2 linked regions of the Caenorhabditis elegans genome follow. The protein of the gene in region 1 purifies or fractionates together with the protein of each later gene. This does not show direct contact. Each region holds a gene or a part of one and is shown on either strand. Other genes may lie near its edges.

Region 1 (5,293 bases):
TGTTTAAAATTGTTCAAACATTATTTTCATGCTCAAAAACTGTTGTACATTTAAGTTAGCTTGTGAACAAGGTGTTGTTTTTGTTAGATTCTGACCGACGGAGGCGTTCTCCACGTCTACATGTACTTGTTCCTATCGCGCCCTGATTATCAATTCGTGGTAACGGTGCCTTTATGTAATCTGTTCTATAATTTTTGGATCGAACACATCTCCAAGTTATTTTGACTTTCTTTAAACTCTCAAACTCTATATTGAAATAAATTTTGATAGAAAATCTTTTAAAAATTAATCAAAATGGCTGTTGAATCGCGCGAAACTTTTTAAAACAATCTTGAAATTTCTGAAGAAAATGTTTCAGGTGTTCGATAGCTAGTTTGAATAATTGTTTTTTTTAATGTTTTTACCAATTTGAGTCCAATTTTTGACTATCTGCGCAAAACTACTGTAAGCTTAGATAACATTTTTCGAAATATAGTCAAAACCGATCCGCAGAGGCAAACAATTTACTGAAAAGTACCCGCTTTTGCTGATGCATCTTGTGTCCACATCCTGATGGACACCCTATATAATGTGCGCAGCAAAAGAGCGGAGCAATTTTTCCAAATATGTTTCAACACGGCCTTTTCTCTCTCAAGCAAAGTCAAAATTCCAGGACGCGGCGGAAAGGAGGGCCTACATGGCTTCATTGTCCCAATTATCGCAATTGTCAAGAATGTTCTAAAAGAATCTTCTAGCCAACGGCTTAAAGAGCATTCCCTACTTTTCCGGTAGTTCTAGGTAAGTCACAAGATCATTTGATTGTATTTATTTGTAATACTCAAGTGGAGAGACAACTGTCTAGTGGAAAGAATGGAGTTCAAAGGAAGGAACATACAAAATCACAAAAGTTCAATTACGAGCTGTCAGTATTCGAGCCTGAAAATATGTTTAAAGCTCCGGTATTACCGGTACAGATAGTGTAGATAGTTAGAGAGTGCCAGACATCCGGGACCCAATGGGACGGGGCGCGGAAGAGACGATTTGTGCCGATTTACGAAATTTTCCTCGTTGTCATCATTTCGTAAATCGACACAAATCGTCTCTTCCGCGCGCCCCGCCCCGTTGGGTCCCGGATGTCTGACACTCTCTAACTATCTACACAATAGGGAAAAGAAAAAAATAAAACTTTCGTACTTCCAAGTGCATCACGATAGTTTTCATCCCAGTCATACGCCTCACGCAACGATTTTCCTCTGGTCATGTCCTGGAAAATTAAATTGTTATAAATCAATTTTCAAGCAGCCAAAATTTGCAGCGCCCGCACAGGTTTCATTTAATTTGGAGAAAAGAGCACAACGTCAAACTATGATATCTCAGTTGCTATTATATCTATCAACAAAGTTTTCACTAACAAAACGTAGATCTTAAAATTTTAAATACTTTGCAGTTGTGAGCTCTCTATTGATATTTTAGACAAATATTGTAGGAAAACAGTACCAACTTCGAAATATCTAGTGCGAGATACTAGAAAGAGTTCAGCTAACAGGGATTTTTGTGAAATTTATATACTGGTTGAAAACTTTTTGATAGCTCTGTTGGTGGCAGGGATTTTAGTTTTTTTAAAATTCAAATTACGTTTTCTACGTGGTAAGGAACAATCACGATCAGTTCAGAATTTAACTTACACAAAGCAAATTTTGCAATGAAGAATGATCGGGCTCATCCTCCGATCGCAAATTGAAAATCGCTCCACAGAACACGGAGAAATAGGGTCCGGTGAGCAGCAAGTATGGAGAGTTTGGAGTATTCTAAACAAACATTTTAAAGGTACAACTTTTTAAAATCACGTACAAAGTCCACTTTAGTCTGTCGGATGTCATCAGTGCTCACCAGTTTCCAGGGAAGGTTGACAAGGAGAAGCTCAGCCCCAGAGTAGGCCATTGACACAAAGTCATCAACTGGGGTCTGTTCTTTTCCATCGTGGACACGCACAGACGAGTAGCGCAGTGTCCCTCTGAACAATTTTCTGAACTTTCTGGGAACAATTTAAAGTTACCTAAAACCAGGTTTGTATCTCTGTTTACGACGTGTTCCATCCACGTTCTTGAATCTTCGAACCATCCCATAGTCGACTAGCTTGAGCACATGACGAGTCTGAAAATTGGCAAAACCTGGCTCTAACCTGCTCAAATAGCCGTAACCCAAACAATCTTTTAGGCATTAAAAAAACTACCGTTACCTAGGCATTAAAAAAACTACCGTTAAAAACTACCGTTTTTATACAACGTTATGCTTAGAAGTGGTGGTATACTAAGCATAAAAATGCAACATAATGTCACGTTTCAATTATATTAGCAGTTTAAATAGAAATATGTACATAAATGGAGAATTTATTTTTGGAAAACGGGTATTACATACATAAATATCAAATATTCTTACACTTTGAGTAACTCCAAAGCACATATTTGCAGGTTTCACGTCTCGGTGAATGTAACCAAGAGAATGGACATCCCGAAGTGCAGCGATTCCTTGGATCATGATTCGTGCGACTGTGGTTTGGCTCAGACGTTTTACTGGGCTTCTTTTCTTCAGATCACCAATGTTTGGACCAAGAAGTTGCATTACTAAAAACTTGACTGTTTTTAGTACGCACCGCTTTTGCTGTGAACTGGCAAAAGTCGACTGCGCGTTGCAAAATATTATAAATGTTATGTTTTGCAACATGTTAGAAAAACTTTTTGATAACTTCAAATCCCGCGAAGATGTACCGGTCGCTGACTTTCAGTGACACTTTATATTCTGCAACATTGAAAGCTATAAAGCCTCAAAGAAACCTACCAATAAAATTCAATTGCTCCGTGTGTCCCGAAGCGCACATAATGGGAACATGAGGTCTTCCCTGCAGACGGTAGAGAACTTTTTGCTCCAAGATCATTCGTCGTCTTGGCCTTCCTTTCAGGACCACTGGCTCAATTTTGATGACAACATCTTCCGGGAATGTAGCGTCTGAGCCGTAGTAGATTTGGCCGAAACCTCCACGTCCGATAAGCCCCTAAATTTTTTAATTTAATAAAAATTATAAATATTTGGAAGTGATTCTGCGCAAAATTTCACATTGATCAAAGAAGTTTTTGAAAGCTCGAACCGCTTATGAGAACGTTTTCATTTTTAGCATCAAGAAATCATGGGAAAGGGAAAGGCGCAGACGTGGTTTTTTTCAGTAGCCATTTTTGTAGCATTGCTTATTGTTTTGAAAATCCCTTACCTTCACCATAAACTTTCCGCGAAACATTTGATCATTTGACAAATACTCAGAACCGTTTCGATCTTTCAACATCGGCACATATGGCTTCACTTTTGGAATTGCCAATCCATCTATCAAGATCCTGGAAAAATTGAGACCTGAGTTCTGATAAACTTCAAAAACCAAACTTACACAGTTTCTTCAGAACGCTCCAAAGTTTCCATTTAATTTAACGCGAATATTGAGAAAAGGAAATAAATTGATTGGGGAAACTAAAATTGGATACAAGAGGATTTCTCCAGTTTTTCACGTCAAAATTTCTTTTTTAACTTCCCTGACCGTTCTAAAAAATTTTCAGAAAAAATAACAGTACAATGTGCAAAGTATAAACGTGAACGAACTTCACTACGAGTTGTTTTGGATATATTTTTCGGACGAGAAGTTGGGAGACAGACACATCCTCGTAAAATATCTATAGGGTTCTTGAGAACTATCAAGTTTGTTCAAACAAAATTATTAGAATTTATTGAGTGAAATTCGAATGCTACAAAAAACCATACACGTAACAGAATCATGATAATAATTTCTCATGACTTTTTCTTTACATATCTTCAGAGAAGCTGCTGCTCATTTTCTCATACAGGCGGACTTCCTTCGTCTTTGTGCACATTATAACTATCAGTTCGTGTAGAACAGAAGTATGCGAGAAGAAGGAGAAGTACGAGGAAAATGAGACAAGTGACAAGTGCAATGAGCCCAATTACAATCAATGTTTCATTTGTCGATGGGCCACCCGAGTCTCCACTGAGAAGATCATCGCCTTTTGTTGGAGATGTCTCAGATGTTGAAAGTGTGGAAGATGAATTTTTGAATTCTTGACGACGATTTTCTCGTTCTCGTTGTTCGTCTGGAATAATGAGAGATTTGTAACTGACTTTAATGTAAGACACACCTTGATCTACATCCAACTGATCAAAATTTAAAATTGGTTTTACAATAACTCCGCCATGAAGCCATGGTTTCGGTTTTCCACTTGTTGTTTTCTTTGGAGTTTCAGTCGTTTTATAAGATATTGTAGATGTGGACAACTCGATAATTTCATTGGAAGTTGTCTCAACACCAAACAACGTCGATGTATCAATTTCCAGCGGTTCTTCGCTATCCTGAACATTGAAATTAAGTTTACATAATATCGGCATTGAATAATTGAGTTTCGCAAGTTTAGAATAGGTTATATTCAAAAGCACCATTTGAAGAAGAAGTAACGGTAGTTTTTGCTGAAATAATCACACAATGGCTCTAAAACTTCGAACTCGAATGCGACTACTCACAAAAAATCTCAACAATGTTTAAAGTTTTTCTCAACAATGTTTAAAGTGTAATAATCTCAACAATGTTTAAAGTTCTCCAATTTTTTTTTTGGGAAAAGGGCAAAGTTTAGCTTTAATTTCTAATTTTGGTTTTATTAAATCTTTTTTTTTGGAATAAGACATATTTGAATCAAGAAGTCTCATCATGAAAGTAGATTTTTGGTGTATCATTAGTTATTTAAGAAAAAAAACCCAAAACCGTTACTCGTCCTTCAGTTCATGAATAATGTAAGAAATAATAATACAGTAACATTCCAAATATACCTCTAAATCTAAATTATCAGCGACATAATTTGACCGTGTTGTACTGTCATAACGATTTGATGAATAAAAGAAGTTTGGTGGTGTATTCTCCATACTATCTTCCGAAAATACTTTTCGCTTGAGTGTTGTTGTTTCAATTTGAATCTCTTCTCCGCTTTCTTCCAAATCTTCTGATTCATTTGAATTAACAATATTTGGTGGGGTCAAGTTTAAAAGTTGATCTGGAGTTGTCACTTCTACGAGTGCATTATCTTCCGATTGTTTTTCTTTGGAATCAGCGTCCGAATCTGATTCTGATAATCTTGTTTCAATAGATACCACACTAATTGTTGGATGAGTTGTATTATCCGAGTCATGGTATTCATGATCTTCATCATAATGGTGATCAGTGTAATCATGATATTCAGCATTGTGATCCACGTCCTCTTCAGTTTTG
Region 2 (7,020 bases), on another chromosome or scaffold:
GCACACGCGTCCATTCTCAGAAAAAAAACACGAATAACTGCTGTTTACCACATTGTACTTTCATCTCTCTTTCAAGGAACTATTTTTTTATTTCTATGTATAATTTTCTTGAGAAGAAGTTTTTATTTTTTAAATAGATACAAACTTTTTTGCGTTGAAGAATTGTTCAAAAAGGTAGTTAGGATAGACAAAAATTCAAATTCAAAACTATTTTTCCAATGAAATTTATTATTGTTTGATCAGTGAAAAAAGTAATATAGAACATCTTTTGTACAGTACACTAATTCGATTTGTGTGCATCTTTACAAAATTGTCTCCTTCATCCAAAAATTGGATTCTAGAAGTAAATTTCATAAAAACAGTATTCTATTATTTTTGTTACGAAAATATTTCACAATTCTCGGAAGAAAACGAGATGATTGTGGTTATTGGGTAAGTGTTCAAAGAATATACATAGAAGTTCCAAATTTAAAGGTGGAGTAGCGTCTGTAAGTTTTTTGCCATAAATGACAGAATAGAGACCCAATATACTAAATATAACTGTTAAAAAATGTAGAAAATGTATGAAATTTTTCTAATTTTTTAATGATTTTTTTCTTAATTTTACAAAAATTTAAAAAAAAGGACTGAATTAAATTTGAACTCCCGCGCAAATGAGTGACGTCATTTTCGAAACTTTTGCGTTTTCAGCCTATATTAATAGGTTTTTCTTCATTTTTCCTTTGTTTTATAATTTGAAATACAGTCTGTCAATTTTTCAGACTAAAAGAAAATGTATGATTAATTTTGAATAATTAAGCCAATTTCAGAGTTTCGGTAAGTTTCTTCGCAATTATCAAGTTTGAAAAATGTTTGAAAAATTGAAAAATTATGTTTCAAATTATAAAACTAATTGTAAGAATAAAGAAAAACCAATTAGTTTGGCCGTAAAACACAAAATGTCGAGAATGACGCCATTAATTTGTGCGAGAATTCAAATTTAAATCGGCCTTTTTGAAAAAATCATAAAAAATTTATTATTATTTTTTGATTTTTTAACAGTTATATTTGGTAAATTGGGACTGTATTCTGTCATTTATGGCAAAAAAACCACTACTTCACCTTATAATTTAAAATTATCCAACTCACTATCTCTGTGTTTCATTTTAGCATCGAGTTATCACTTCCGATGACTAACAAATGGGAAATCTAAGGAATAATGCAGAGATTGAAAAGAATTAGAGAAACAAACAGACAAAATCAAGTATTATTTAACAATTGTAAAGAACAACCAAAAAACCCCACAGGAAAGACCACACAGAATGTGGACCCACGACTTTGGGAGATTAGGCACCTACGAGATTTCATGGCCCAAGTTAATTGGGTAGCGCTTTGAGTTGTCATAAATGTTAATAATTGAGAAAAAGATATTTAAAACTTAAAACGTACATATTAAACTTATTTCTTATAGAATTTACTTTCAAAGCTTTTATTATAGGCGGTCGATTTGTTCTACGGCAACTCTATTCTCCAAAACAGAGTGGTGTCTCTTTTCTGTCTGATTCTCTACTTCTCTACACATTTTCAATCCTAGGTGTGTCTCTCTCTGAAGGATGAAATCTCTATTTCTCTGCATCTCCTATTTGGCTTCAGCCTATCGCTTCTCTTCCGCACACAAACATTCACTCAGTGACGTAACTTTTAATACCTACACTATTTCTCTCTTTCGCATTGTCAACTTATATATATATATATGTATATAGATCATTCCTGTACTATTTAATTTTTAATTATAACTTTTTAAAAAGGTTATTTATGATTTAAAAAAAACAAAATCTAAAGTGTCTTTAAAGTGTAAAAGTAAAAATTGGCAGGCTGGGTATACTGCCTTTTTTCTTCAAGTTTTCGAATCTAAGTAAAAATAAAAAATTTCCCCTGCTTTTTTAATACAATTTTAGTTTGAATTTTACTTGTTGAGAATAATAGACTTCAATTATCTCGATGCAGTATTATGTATTTCACTAATAATTAACAGCAAATACCTCAAAATTACCCCGAACTCGAACTATTGCTAGAATAAACCATTCGAGTAACCCGTGTATTTATTGTAGAGTTCGTGAGAAAAGGATTAAAGGATTAAAGGACGATCCGTTCTTCAAGCGCTATGCACTGCGGATCTGGGAGTCAGGTACACTGCCTGGTGGTGATCCCACTAAAAAAGTAATTAGAGTATTATAGAAAAAATACGATCGCCCAAAAATAAACAACGGCGCAACGACACTCCGCTGTTTCTGAGACCCGCCCACGATTTCATTTGCACTGCGGCCGACACATTTCAGTGCAAATGAAATCTTGGGCGGGGTTTAGAAACGGTGGAGTGTCATTGCGTCGTTGTTTATTTTTGTACGATCGTATTTTTTCTATAATAAAGGTTTAAAAAAAAGAAACACACTATTGGATGTTACATTCCAGTCAACTTGATACCTAAAATATTTAAATTTTCCATTGAAATTAGTGTTGACTTTTGTTTCCTAAATACGAACATCCTTTCAAAACCAAGCGCAAAAAGTGTAAGATCATTCACAACTGAAGTCAAATTTTTGAAGTGTGAACATTTTTTGCGTCATGCAAATATGAAATATGAGTTTATGAGTCGATTAAAAAACATAAAAACCCAAACAAAAACGCTGAAATTTCATTAAATGTTAAAAAATGACTTCTTTATTACAAATCCAAAGTTATGATTAAACATTTAAAGATTAGCTGCAAAGATTATTTATTAAACTACATATCTTTCTATTTTTAGTCTATTTTTTAAACATTGTCAGGTTTAGTTTGCACTTCAAAAAATGAAAACTGTATTTCACTAACAATATGTACATATATCCCCTCCCTCATTTTTTTTCACTCCAGAAATGGAAAGTCAATATTTGGAAAGAAAATAATTTTCCAAACTGTTAGAATCTCCGTTTTTAAGATTTATTGATTTCTACGTGGGTTGAAATGACTCAGTTTTGATGAAACTCAACAATTTTAAGGCATTTTTATCAGTTCCGGTTGGAAAGGAAAATCAGAAACATTTTTGCAAGTGATAAGAATTATGAAATTTTTATAGATTTTTTCAAACGTTTATTTGGAAATTGAAATTATACTTTTAAAAATTTAAGAAAAGCTGAAATTTAATGACTAACGTTTATATTTAATTTTTGAATTTTAAGTATTTCTCCCTGAAACTAATAACTTTTTAGGCACAATAAGATGGAAGTGGATCTGCCGGTACATAACGAGTATGATGCGTCTAGATTTCATCAAGTTACAATTAGGGTTTGTTACTAGATACTTTACCTCCATTCAAATTCATTTTCAGGACCCGATAGCCGGCGCGGACAGCACTTTCACTATTCCAACTCGTTATGTAAACCTTAGTTTTCTGAATGCCGGCGCCCAAGGAACTGTCGTGTGAGTTTTTACTAATTACATTAATATTTTATTGAAGGAAAAATAATAGGGCGAATTTTTTAACGCAGTAAACAAAAAATTTCAATAGACAAACAAATATTAACACTTCAAAGATGTTAATCAAAGATTTGATAGATTGCCAAATTTTCGAATAATTTTTACTTTTTCAAACATTTCACACTTTACTGCAAATTATAGCCCCAATAATGTTCAAATACCAAAAGATAAAATAAATTTTTTGAAAGAACTATGAATTTTAGTCATTTTAGAAACATATGGCTGGTTTCAGAGAATCCTTTCTCTGGTCGTACTCCATCTTTGAATGTCTCACTGCCTTTCAATTGTATATTTTTACACTTTAACTTTTCTTCGGTTTTGCGTAATTTCAAACACTGACACAATGATGACTTCCCGAAAAAAAACGGACCGCCCTATCAAAAAACTTTTAAAACAGGTAGAGGTCTCGAGATCATTGTTATTCGTCATTGCCCGCTGCTCCACCTCTAAGATTGAAAAAGCTTGAAAAAATCAATAATCAAGAAGATCTTCTAGAAGAATGAAAGTGACTGAAATTAAATTATCGCGCAAATGACTTCAAACAGAATTTCTAAGTTAAGTGAACAGCCATAATTTTTATTGATTACATTTAGAATGGCCGATGACCTAGTAACAACGCAACGTGTGGCAATCAAGAAGATGCAACAACCATTTGTGATGACAATGAGCGCAAAGCGAGCATATCGAGAGTTTATACTGCTAACGACTATCAAACACCCAAATGTAAGATTCAGTTGGAATCTAGAAAAAATGCTCCAAATTTCAGATAATCCGTCTACTAAACGCGTTTACACCGGACACTTCACTTTCAACGTTCCGAGAAGTATATCTAGTTATGGAATTAATGACACACAATTTGCACGAGGTTATACATCGATTAAGGTAAGAGACATGGTGGCTGATTTTTATGATTTTTTTTCAGTAATACCAATTTTTATAGTAATATCTAGTATACTAGACGTAATTTAAACTGTATATGATGGACTTGTTAGAGACTAATAGACGTAAAATATTATTTTTCTGTTATTGATTTTGAGAACAAAAGAATAAAAATAAAACAATAGGAAAAGCACGATATCTTAAAGAAGGAGTGGCGGATTCATTTTTGCTCTAATAAACTCAGAACGACTCCAAAATATCAACCTTTTTTGTCTCAATTTCACGTTTAATAAACATATTCAACAATAATAATAAGTTTATTGCTGACACTTTTCAACAAAAAAAACTTTTAAAAAAAGAAAGAAACAAGGGCAAAAGCTAGACTTTCAATTTTGCCGTCTTTCGCGTTTCCCAAGGTCGGAAATACATTTTTATCCAACCTTGAGTACCCACTTGGAAATGTGCCGAAACCATCATCAAAACACGCACAGTTAGCTACCAGAACACGCGTAAAAAAATAAAAAAAATATTCCAGCGTGTTTTGAAAATTTTTGGTCAAGATTTTAGTTAACTACCAAAAATCAGAATTTTTAAAAAAGTTTAGAACACTTGCACATTTGAGCTCCTATTCATGATTGTTCAATGATTCAATGATTGAATATTGAATATAAACACATAATTAGATTCTAAAAAAATTTTCTGAATTATTAGATTGGACCATAAAACATTATCATTCTTCGTCTACCAGAGTTTGTGCGCAATCAAGCATCTTCACAATTCGGGAGTCATTCATCGTGTACGTATCTACCACTATAGACAACATTCTGAAAAATTCAAAGTTTCAGGACTTAAAACCATCGAATATTGTCGTCAACGATCGATGTGTATTAAAAGTTTTAGACTTTGGATTGGCCCGGAAGAAGAATGTGGACACATCGATGAGAATGTCAGATTATGTGGTGACAAGATACTACAGAGCCCCCGAAGTTATATTAGGTCTTCCCTATTCGGAAAAAGGTTTGTTCGAAAAAAAAAAAAATTTTTGTAATTTTGGGCTGGACTTCCATCTGCGCTCCGGTGAGCCGCCTCAAACAGCCTCACGCCGTACGTATCCGCATGTAAAGTGCGCGTAAAACCCCAAACGTGTCGGCCGCTTCCAAACAACACTCTCAATTCATAATTGCAGTAGATATTTGGTCAGTCGGATGTATATTTGCTGAAATGATCAACCATACCGTACTTTTCCCTGGAAAAGATCGAATTGATCAATGGACTAAAATTTATAGTGTTTTGGGAACACCAGATGATCATTTCATTAGTCAATTGGGTCAGTCAGCTGCTATGTATGTTCGATCGTTGCCACGTCATCAGGCACGAGCATTCAGTGAAATCGTTCCTGATACCAATTTTCTGCCGGAGACTGAAAATCCAAGGGTCCATTTGACACGTGAGTCAGGCTATACAGGATTTTGAAAAATAAATCATATTTTCAGCACACGTGGCTCGTGATCTCCTGTTCAATATGTTGAAAATCAATCCTGAAGAAAGGTATTCAGTTGAAGATGCACTGAATCATCCATATGTTAAGTTGTGGTTTAAGGTACAACAATTTTAGCACTAAACAAAAACAATCAAATCATGCATCTCAAATCTTACAGGACGATGAGGTAAACGCCCCCGCATCAGAAAATCGATACGATCAGGAAATTGATTTTGCCGATAAGACACTTATTGAATGGAAAGAGCTAATTTTCAACGAAGTGCAACGCTATCAAGCCGACCACGACATTTTCACTGGATAATAAATAATAAAAAACCTAAAATTGTTTCTTTTTCTCTCAAAAATAATTGTGTTACTTTTTTCTTCAAAAATCTATCTTTCAGTTGTGTTCTGTCACTTAGTTGGCCATATTTTCTGGTGATTCTCTGCTTATTTTCTATATTGATTATAATCACTAAATGTTAATTATTTTGGAATACAGATTTTTTGGAACTGTTTTGTTTTAAGTATAAGAAATTGAACCTTAGCTCCACAAAATTTGCATCTCATTATAAAGTAGGGATTGTTTTTCGATTGTATTGTCAGGTTTAAATTCAAAATTCTAAATCAATAAATTAATTTTTTAGGGACCAGGTCCCCTATGAGGTCGCCACAGCGGCGCCCGCGCCGGCCTCACAGCGTCAATCACAGTGCATGTATCCGAATATATAGTGCGGCAGGGAACCCGATCGTGAAGTCCGCGCCTCACTTAGCTGGGAGACCTATAGGTTTTTTTTCTTCAAAACGATGCTTTAATTTTTGTTCTCAAAAACAAAATGAAGCCAAAATGGGAATCCAGAACGACCGGACATTAAATCACACAGATGGACAATGGTGGTCTTGAATAAGTACATTTATTTCACAAAAATTGAACATTCAGTAAAAGATGAGGTTTGAAGACTGAAAAGTGGGCTGGACAACAGAAAATCGACTTTTGGGTAGTAAAAGATTTTTGATATAAAGATGGGAAATAAAGTATATGGACATTTGGACAAAAAGAGAAACAGAGACGCCTTGAAATGTTTTCAAATGATTCTTTTAGTATTCTATTCTAGAATTAAGAAAAGCGGATGGAAAATATTTTTTTGGAATCTTGATATTTTGTA

What was found.
Region 2: the proteins of ZC581.2 (region 1) and kgb-1 fractionate together in Caenorhabditis elegans (co-fractionation; one large-scale study listed by BioGRID). This does not show direct contact.

The regions. Positions count from the first base shown.
Region 1 is NC_003279.8:6,653,869-6,659,161, reverse strand, and holds ZC581.2 (non-specific serine/threonine protein kinase), read right to left. Parts: upstream 3,555-5,293; 5' UTR 3,448-3,554; coding exon 3,416-3,447; intron 3,366-3,415; coding exon 3,245-3,365; intron 3,032-3,244; coding exon 2,818-3,031; intron 2,604-2,817; coding exon 2,419-2,603; intron 2,134-2,418; coding exon 2,036-2,133; intron 1,994-2,035; coding exon 1,831-1,993; intron 1,788-1,830; coding exon 1,665-1,787; intron 1,244-1,664; coding exon 1,174-1,243; intron 916-1,173; coding exon 893-915; 3' UTR 791-892; downstream 1-790. Other genes in the region: ZC581.3 (CPG4 domain-containing protein), read right to left, coding at 3,859-4,130, 4,176-4,386, 4,858-5,293.
Region 2 is NC_003282.8:405,104-412,123, reverse strand, and holds kgb-1 (GLH-binding kinase 1), read left to right. Parts: upstream 1-2,090; 5' UTR 2,091-2,167; intron 2,168-2,251; exon of another isoform or gene 2,252-2,362; intron 2,363-3,227; 5' UTR 3,228-3,237; coding exon 3,238-3,303; intron 3,304-3,346; coding exon 3,347-3,438; intron 3,439-4,088; coding exon 4,089-4,218; intron 4,219-4,261; coding exon 4,262-4,377; intron 4,378-5,085; coding exon 5,086-5,170; intron 5,171-5,219; coding exon 5,220-5,391; intron 5,392-5,560; coding exon 5,561-5,821; intron 5,822-5,867; coding exon 5,868-5,974; intron 5,975-6,032; coding exon 6,033-6,176; 3' UTR 6,177-6,503; downstream 6,504-7,020. UniProt on the Caenorhabditis elegans protein: Mitogen-activated protein kinase which is an essential component of the JNK pathway composed of mlk-1, mek-1 and kgb-1.